Macaca mulatta: one gene and its partner. The protein of the gene in region 1 interacts with the protein of each later gene in a pairwise test. Links are inferred from orthologs where the notes say so. Each region holds a gene or a part of one and is shown on either strand. Other genes may lie near its edges. The genes, in order: FAM9B and POLL.

Evidence for each region.
Region 2: the proteins of FAM9B (region 1) and POLL interact in binary tests that used the Homo sapiens proteins (3 or more experiments, as listed by UniProt). The two-hybrid records come from large-scale screens. The link is inferred for Macaca mulatta from reciprocal best matches to the Homo sapiens genes FAM9B and POLL.

What each region holds. Positions count from the first base shown.
Region 1 is NC_133426.1:8,568,518-8,573,183, forward strand, and holds the start of FAM9B (protein FAM9B), read right to left. Parts: upstream 3,052-4,666; 5' UTR 2,785-3,051; intron 2,028-2,784; 5' UTR 1,939-2,027; coding exon 1,911-1,938; intron 1,411-1,910; coding exon 1,290-1,410; intron 1,111-1,289; coding exon 1,079-1,110; intron 1-1,078. UniProt on the Homo sapiens protein: May play a role in meiosis.
Region 2 is NC_133414.1:113,660,634-113,664,864, forward strand, and holds the start of POLL (DNA polymerase lambda), read right to left. Parts: upstream 2,801-4,231; 5' UTR 2,764-2,800; coding exon 2,649-2,763; intron 2,604-2,648; exon of another isoform or gene 2,525-2,603; intron 1,555-2,524; coding exon 1,260-1,554; intron 877-1,259; coding exon 714-876; intron 318-713; coding exon 1-317. Other genes in the region: protein DPCD, read left to right, coding at 3,733-3,796.

The DNA of each region.
Region 1 (4,666 bases):
CAATTGCTAAAAACAGTTTTCAGCAATCATAAAAGATTTGTACCATAATGCAAATATTTTTTACATACAGTCTCCATCTATAACGCCCAATGTATTAGGCAGCTCACAAAACCAGCACTTTTTGTCACCAAGCAGAGCAAAGCTTTCCAAATATACTGCTTGTATGAATCATCGCTATCGAAAAGCTGAAAACTGAATTGAGCTTTTCAAAAGTAAGAGTATTGTCTCCATCATCTTTACAGAAATTTTCTCAAACTTTTTTGAAAATATGGTCCCTATAACAGTGCAACTAATATTTCACACAGCAATATAAAGTTTATGAGTTTTTGGATCCAATTACATGTTTCTCACTAGATAGAAAAGTTGTCCTTTTGTACTACACAGTTTATTACTGGAATAATAATGGAAAATGATTTTAGAGAATTCAATTTTCTCTTGTACTTCAAATAAAACAAAATCAGAAAGCTGTGACAATAGAATAGCTAAATTAAGAACATGAAAAACTCATATTAAAAACTCTGAGTACATATGGACAGGAAGAAGGGACCAACAGACAACTGGGCCTACTTGAGAGTGGAGGGTAGGAGGAGGGTGAGGATCAAAAACCACCCATCAGGTACTATGCTTATAACCTGGGTGACAAAATAATCTGTATACCAAAACCCTGTGACATGCAATTTATCTATATAACACACCTGCACATGTACCCCCAAACTTAAAGTGAAAGCTTAAAAAAAACCTGATATATGACTTAATCTGCGTACACTAAAAGGAACGAATAGAGCTGTTTCTCCTCCAATGTCCTCTAATATTCTCCAAACAATTAAATTTCCACGTGTATGAAAGAAAAGCCATCCATCTCGCTTCACCATTATTAGAAGCATTCTCACATTCCACATCAACAATCAAAGAGGTAAGAAAAATTTATCAAACAGATTACATTAAATACGTATGTTAAATGCTACATATGATAAGCCATTTAAGACAGTCTTGTCATCCACTGATTCATATAACTTACTGCAACAGTTGCATGATTGAAAACAATTTTCATAAACGACAGATAACTCCTAAAATATACCTGCAGTATCTTCTGGCTTCTTGGTATTAGCCCTGTAAAAAAAGTTACATCAAAATTTTAGCATAATACTACACAAAATGCCATGTTTGTTGGGAAAAGAAATGTCTTATGTGAAATGTTCTGCACAGAATAGAACAGTGATGACATGGTCCAAAGGTGACTTTTCCTAAAAGACCCTATCCCACAGGCAAAAGTGACTTAAACACTTTACCCCGTGTGCTCGTCTTTTTCAGCAAAAGGTTCTCTTTCCCCATGCTCATCAGTTACATCTTCCTCCCTTGTTTCTGTAAAAGGGTTTCTTTCCTCACATTCGTCACTGACTGGATCCTTTCCTGCATTAAAATTTAAAAGACAAACCTTTTTTAGAGGAAGACACTGTTGTGGACTTTTTTTGTGGAGAAATGTACTTGTTGTAGACTTTTTTTTTTTTTTTTTTTTTGGCTATCTGCCAATTAAGGCTTTAAAGCAGAGCTGTACATGGAATCACCGGCTTCTGACCATTTTATCAAGGCACTTTTGGAAGCCCTTCGGGTTCAAGTCCCAGTAAACAACATACTACACGTCAGACCCCTTGGATGTCATGACTGCACTCATGGAGAAGAGCTGCTCTGGGAGCATCTGTAACCCCGCTATGAGGGGAGCCTTTCACGGGAAGCCTAAGGCCCTTGAGCCTGCTTTGAAAACCTGGGGCATCTTAGCACGTGCACGATGGACTCCAAAGCCACGAAGGGGCCCGGGTCCTTGGGCTACCCCTGTGCCCCCAGCGCAGAAAGCAGACAGACCGTCCTCTTGGGCGTGCACTTTCTTCCGGGTCACCTTGGGCTGTATTTACCTGCACGCTCCTTCCCCTGGGCCGCCATAAATTGAGCCTCCAACTGGGCCTTGGCAGCCCTCCTGCCCACAGGATCCGTGGCTGGCTGTCCTGGGAAGCTACAGGTGATCCCTGAACCTGATGAGGGCAAAGGCACACTAAGGAAGCAAAGGAACCCTGGCATCGGAAAGGAAAGCCATTGGGATCACAGGTTCAAGAAGGGTGGGGCTGGCACGCCCTGGGTCTCCTGTGGGAGCAGGAGGGGACCGAAAAGATGCCAGTGTCCCCTCCTGTCCTGGCCCGTCCAGCCCGTCCAGCCCGTCCCCGGGGCTGGCTGCAGAGCTCACAGCTGCCCCTCACACCTGAACTCCACGGCGTCTGCGGGATCCTCGCCGCACCTTTGGGACAGAACTCAGCCCTACCTCTGGGTCCCCCAGCGACCCCGTGTGGCTGGGAGGGCCACCGGGTGACACAGGATCTCCCCAGCCACCTCCAGAGGAATGTCAGGGGCTGCACTGTCACTCACCCGCCTGGATGCACAGGGGACCCCTGATGACCCCAAGTGTCCTGTCCTGACGGGAGGCCGGGCAGGAGGGCCCCACTCAGACTGTCCCCAACAACACCCTCGCCCCACCCCCACTTCCCCCCACCTTCCGCACCTCCCCCCAACACATGCACAAGCCCTCCTGGGCCCTAGGGATCACCCAGGCGGCTCCAGCTCCCTCCCTGCCCTGGCCCACCCCAGCCCACCCTCAGGGCCTCGCCCTGACCCAGGCCCCAGGCGACCACGCCAGGGGCATTTCCTCACAGGTCAGCGGGCGGCCCAGCGCTTCACACCCTGGTTCCCAGAGGGCCTCGTGCCTGCGTTTCCGCCTCCCCACCGCGAGCGCTTCACCTGAGGGACCCCTGATGTGGCGCCCTCAAAGAACCTGCAGACAACAGCACCACTAGGATCTCTTAGAAAACGGGTCCTCTCAGGAGGCTGAGGCAGGATGATTGCTTGACCCCGGGAGGCGGAAGTTGCAGTGAGCCCAGATCGCGCGGCTGCACTGCAGCCTGGGCGGCAAGAGCCAGACTGTCTCAAAAAACAAAAAACAAAAAACAAAAAACAAAAAAGAAAACAAGTACTCAGTTCTCGTGAGAGCTGCCGACAGCACTTCCTACGCTCCTCGCAGATTGGTCGACTCAGTGCACATGCGTGTGACAGGCCGTGTGGGGCCACGCCCCCTGCTGGCACGCCCTCCCCCTTCCCCTAAGTGACAGCAAGTGGTTGCTGTGGACTGAGGTGGGGTTGGCCCTTTGGGGCCTCTGTTCCCACATTCTTTCAGCTTCTGCTCCTGGGGAGGGACACAGGACTTGGTATGGAGGCCAAGTGGACAGGGCCTAGAACCTCGCCCTGGGGCTCTTTCCAGCCACCCCTGCCCCTTTGGCTAGAATGGCCATCATCCTATGGGTTGGGCCCAGGCTCCCTCCCATGCCCTGTGTGCTTCCAACATGCCCAGCTGCATCCTTTTCAATCAATGGATTGTGCTTTTATCGTTTTTGTTTGTTTTTGAGACTGTGTCTCACTCTATCGCCTAGGCTGGAGTGCAGCAGGGTGATCTCAGCTCACTGCAACCTCGGCTTCCCGGGTTCAAGTGATTCTCCTGCCTCAGCCTCCCAAGGAGCTGGAATTACAGGAGCCCAACACCAAGCCCTGCTAATTTTTTTTTTTTTTTTTTTTAGTAGAGACGAGGTTTCACCATGTTGTCCAGGCTGGTGTCGGACTCCTGACCTCAGTTGATCTGCACGCCTTGGCCTCCCAAAGTGCTAGGATTACAGGCATGAGCCACCGTGCCCTGCCCATAACCATTTTTGTTTCCTCACTACTTTTCTTTCTCATCCTCATGCCCCAGACTTGCCCACAAACCCTCATGCTCCAGACTTATGCAGACATATGCCACAACCTTCACCCACAAATTAATGCCTTAATACTTATCGTTAACTCAGCTTTTTCCCACCTCCAGTCGCCTATAATAGGGGGAGAGTTGTTTTGGAGTTAGGAGTAAATAAATATTGCCTAAAGTTTGTAAATCAAGATATAGAGTTTCATTATATTATTGAAATTATATCCCAGCACTTTGGGAGGCTGAGACGGGCAGATCACAAGGTCAGGAGATCGAGACCATCCTGACTAACACGGTGAAACCCTGGCGACAGAGCGAGACTCCACCTCAAAAAAAAAGAAAAGAAAAGAAATTATAAAGGCAGTCATCAGGAAAACTAATCCACAGCCTTAAATGTCTATATAACCAAAAAGAGCACACACAAAGAACACAAATCCTGTAGTAAAAATTGAAAAATAAAGAAAATACTCCAGAGACCATAACATAAAGGAACAAAATTAAGGCCAAGTGAATCTGTTGAGCAAGAAATATGAATGAGATAAACTCAGAATCTAAAGGAAATGACTTCCAACTTGGATCAAAATAAAAATCTAAGTATATGCTGTATGTAAGAATGGAGCTAAAACAAAATGATACAAAAAATACATGTCAGACAAATATGAAGAAAAGGAAAATATGGATCTGGGAATTGATAGCTCGCAAATGTAAAATAATGCAAAAAATAAATGAATAAACTAAAGGCAGAGTATACAGAACAAGAGAAGGGCATGATCTACTCTGACAATCTGACAGAAATCATTTTGTGCTTAACACAGCATCAACATGCCTAAACCCAAAACCGTAGAAAATAAAAGTAAAACAACCAATGAAAATGAAGAGTGATATGGGAGT
Region 2 (4,231 bases), on another chromosome or scaffold:
TGGTACGAGGTGACAGGCTTATGGAAGCTCTTGAGAGCATTGATGGCCTTGGCATAGCCCAGGGCCCTCCACTTGTCTCCCTGAACACTGTAGGCTTTGGCCAGAACTTCCAGCTTCTCTGTGATATGGAGGTTGTGGTTGGTCGCCTTCTGGCTTGAGGGCTGTGCACAGACCCACTTATCCAGGACCACAGGGGCTGGGCTAGGATCACAATCTCCCTCAAGGGAGGCGGGGTAGTGGCCACTGATGAGGGCTTCCAGATCAGCTGCGCTAACCTGGGTTTCTTCCCCATCGCTGGCTTCATCATCAGAGATGGGCTTGGGGTAGAGAAGAAAAGAAAACAATAAATTCTTGTCCTCCAGGAGAAGGGATCCTTAAAGGTGGGGGTCATCTTCTTTGTGCAGGGGGAGGGTCTTCTAGTCAGACCTAAGAATGAGGTGGGGCCTTCTGCATCAGACTTGGATCACCTCGGGTGTGGGGCCACATTCCCTTTGGCTCACCGCAGTGCCTACCCCTAGGATCCCCAGTGGTATGTGTTAGATACGGCCTAGATGAATGCAGGAGTGATGAGTGTTGGGAAGAGATATATGGCTTCACAATGGGGTCCTCCTCTCTCCGGGGACTGGGACTTTCTGAACAGTCATCAGGCCCTCCCCATTTCTGTGATCTGCTTCCTAGGGGAAGGGAGCTCTGAGGGATGGAAGGCTCCTGACCTGGGCTTGGGTGTTTGGTGCCTCTTTTGTCTTTTGGGGAGGAGACACAGGCCTGGTGGGAGAAGGAGGAGGAGGAAGCGCTGTCTGAAGCAGGGCCTCATGGGTGCCAGGAGGAAGAGAAGCATCCTGCTCTGCCTTGCTGGGCTGTGACTGGTCCAAGTACCTGTGGGGATGGTGATGGGAGGTTAAGACACCAAAGGTCTCACCCTGTTTCTGTCCCCAGTCCTAATGTATTCTGAAATACTTGGTTTCCCAGTGTGTCCAATTAAGAAAATGAGTTTTTTGAGGTTTTTGGAGTTTCTCTTGAGATAGGGTCTTGCTCTATCACCCAGGCTGGAGTACAGTGGTATGATCAAGGCTCACTGCAGCCTCAGCCTCCCTGGCTCAATCAATCCTCCCACCTAACCCTCTTATAGCTGGGACTACAGGCATATACCACCATGCCTGGCTAATTTTTAAATTAATGACAGTTATTTTTAATAATTCAAGAAGAGAGCTCAAGATGCTACTAGAAAACATTGGAAAAAAAGACTGGGATCAGCCCACCTACTGGGGATGAAGATGCTGAATCCAGCTACATCCACCAGCCTCCTCTCCTGAAGGCACAAGCTCAGCCAGGCTGACTTCACCAGCTGAGCACCCGGGGGCAGCCGGGGTAGTCTGAGAAGGCGGAGGGCTCGCTCATAGTCCATGCCTTCATCCACCACAATGTGAGTGACACCTGGGCCCTGGACAGGGCATAACTGGCCACCATGCTGAACAATCTGCTTCTCAAAGAGTTCTGCCCGGGCTCGTCCAATGCCAGTGCGCACAACATGGGCCCGAAGGGAGCTCAGCCACTCTGGGGAAGGAACATCCAGATGACTACTGTCATAACTTTTTAATTTTATCTGCCACCCCCTGGCCACAACTTCTAACATGATCTGAATACAACTTCTAACATGATCTGAATGACATGTTCACAGTCCCCTACCCTGAAAATAAGCATTTGTCTTCCATCCAGGCAGGTTTCCTTCTATATACAGCAAATTTTCTCACAGGCCAGTACTTGAAAGTAAGGGACAAGGATTTTTATACGTCCTGTTCCTTGGTGCAACCTAGAAGTGTCTGGCACATTGTAAGTAACCTGTAAATATCTGCTGAATGAATGCCTCCTCCCTTCTTACTTTGTTTTTGTTTTGTTTTTTTCGTTTGTTTGTTTGGAGACAGTCTCACTCTGTTGCCCAGGCTGGAGTACAGTGGCGTCATCTTGGCTCACTGCAACCTCCATCTCCCGGGCTCAAGCGATTCTCATGCCTCAGCCTCCCAAGTAGCTGGGATTACAGGCATGTGCCACCATGCCTGGCTAATTTTTTGTATTTTTGGTAGAGACGGGGTTTCGCCACATTGCCCAGGCTGGTCTCGAACTCCTGAGCACAGGTGATCTGCCTGCCTTGGCCTCCCAAAGTGCTGGGATTACAGGCATGAGCCACCGCGCCCAGCCTCTCTCCATACTTTGAATCCTTTATCATTTATTCTTTCAACAATGCACATTTCTTGCCCTTACACTCTGACAGACCCGACAACCCTGCCTCCAAAGCCTCTGCTATTTATTTATCAATTTGGCTGCAAAACAACTAACAACAATCCTGGGTAATGGAGGGGGGTTTCTGTCCCAGTCCCCCAGGGCAAAAATTATACTGGTCATTCCCTGAGGGTCCAGGGAGTCTTTTCCAATTGATAGGGGTGTTCAGGTAGAAAAGAAGATAACACAGCAAATGGCCTGTCCAAGACCCAGGACCAAGCTTAGTACAAGGCAGATACAAACAGACCTGCAGTCCATGGACAGGCAGAGTCAGCTCCAATATCTGATTCTGGACATGAACAACATAGGGCTGAAGCACATGAAGGCTGAGGGTTCAAGCGCATGAGGGTTCTGAGAGTGGGTCATCTCACCTTCTGCTTCTTCTCCCTCTTCCTTCCTGGGAATCTTTGCAAGTACTTTTGATGATGCATCAGCATGAATTTTCTTCCGTTTGGGAAACGCCTTCAAGATACCCCTGGGATCCATTGAAGTACGGCTGCATCCCAGCCTGTTGGAGGGTTGGTCAGGGCTGCTGTCAGGTGGAAATACAGAATTAAGGATCTCCAACCCCTTTGCCTATGGAGGTAGGGGGTAGCAGCCCAGTTTGGGGAAGCGGGAGGTTGGGGGGGATCTCTTCAAACCCTGTTAAACTAGCTTTTTAGCCTAGCTTCACACTCCCCAGTCTTTCAAAGTTGGAGTATTAGGGGAAATGAGGGGAAGGCTGGAGCCATCGGGGGTACTTTTAAGGAGTAGGAAACTATACCCATTCCTCAAAGGGGTTGCTCTAAAGATTCAGCACAGCCCTCCTGCTGCGGCCCACTTCGAAGGGCTTTACCAAAATGGGATGCTGGGCTAGGAAATGGAGCTTTAGGGGATGGAGCGGAGACTGGGGAGGACCTGCACATAAACTCCACATACTCTTTTTCTACCTCCAACACAGACTTGCAGAGGAAAACCTGAGGAGGCGGACTTTCGCGGGTGAGTGGGAACGCCCTGCACCTGCCCTGGTCTCAGCCTCTCGACATGGGGATGCTCAGCGCCGCAGCTGCGGGGAGATGGGGCACGGCCGCAGCAGGTGTGGGGAGCCCTCCGGGAATGGAGGAGTCTCGCAGCTGGGGGTGAAGACCCAGGCAGGTGTGGTGTACTCGCCCTGTACGCAGCTGGCGCAGGCCAGGGAATCCCAGCTCGGGGCTAGTAGAGAGTTGGAGTGCCCAACCCCGGCGCCAAGAGTCTCTCTCCAACCGCCAGAGTCAGTCCCCGGGTGCGGTCGACAACAGGCCAAGTTGGTCACCCGAGGGTGGGCAGGAGTAGGCCACTTACCAGGAGAGCCAATGAGAACGGACGAAGGGGGGAAGGAGGGCAAATGCCCAGAATAGCTTCCGAGTCAGCCGGAAGTGACCTTCAGTGGAACGGTTGCCATGGCAGCGGCCGGGCGGGCTGCTTAGCACAGGAAAGATGGCGGTGACGGGCTGGTTGGAGAGTCTGCGGACAGCCCAGAAGACTGCACTGCTGCAGGACGGTAACTCGAGGGTCCCCGCGAGCTCCTTCGTTTTTTTCCCCCAGGGTCCGGCCCTCCGGGAAGGGCCTCAGGGCCTGGGTCGGCAGAGCTGGAAGGGTCTCGGTGGTCAGCCGGGCCAGGTCCTGCATTTGCGGATGAGGAGACTAAGGCTCACAGAGATGACATGACCAGAACACATGTCTCCGGACACCCCTTAAATTTCTCTACACCATCTCGCCCCGCTCTGAGTTCTGTTGCTAATATAGTAATTTCTTTTACATTCGTTATCTCATTTGCTCCTCACCACTGTCCTGAGAGGCTAATTTTCCACCCCGTTTTACAGAAGAGGAAACTGAAATCCAAGAATGTTTTGGACTTTAGAGAGGAGAGAGGCCTGGGCTCTAGTTCCGACTGTGCCATTAATTCACCACGGGCTCTCCAGTCGGCACCTTTACT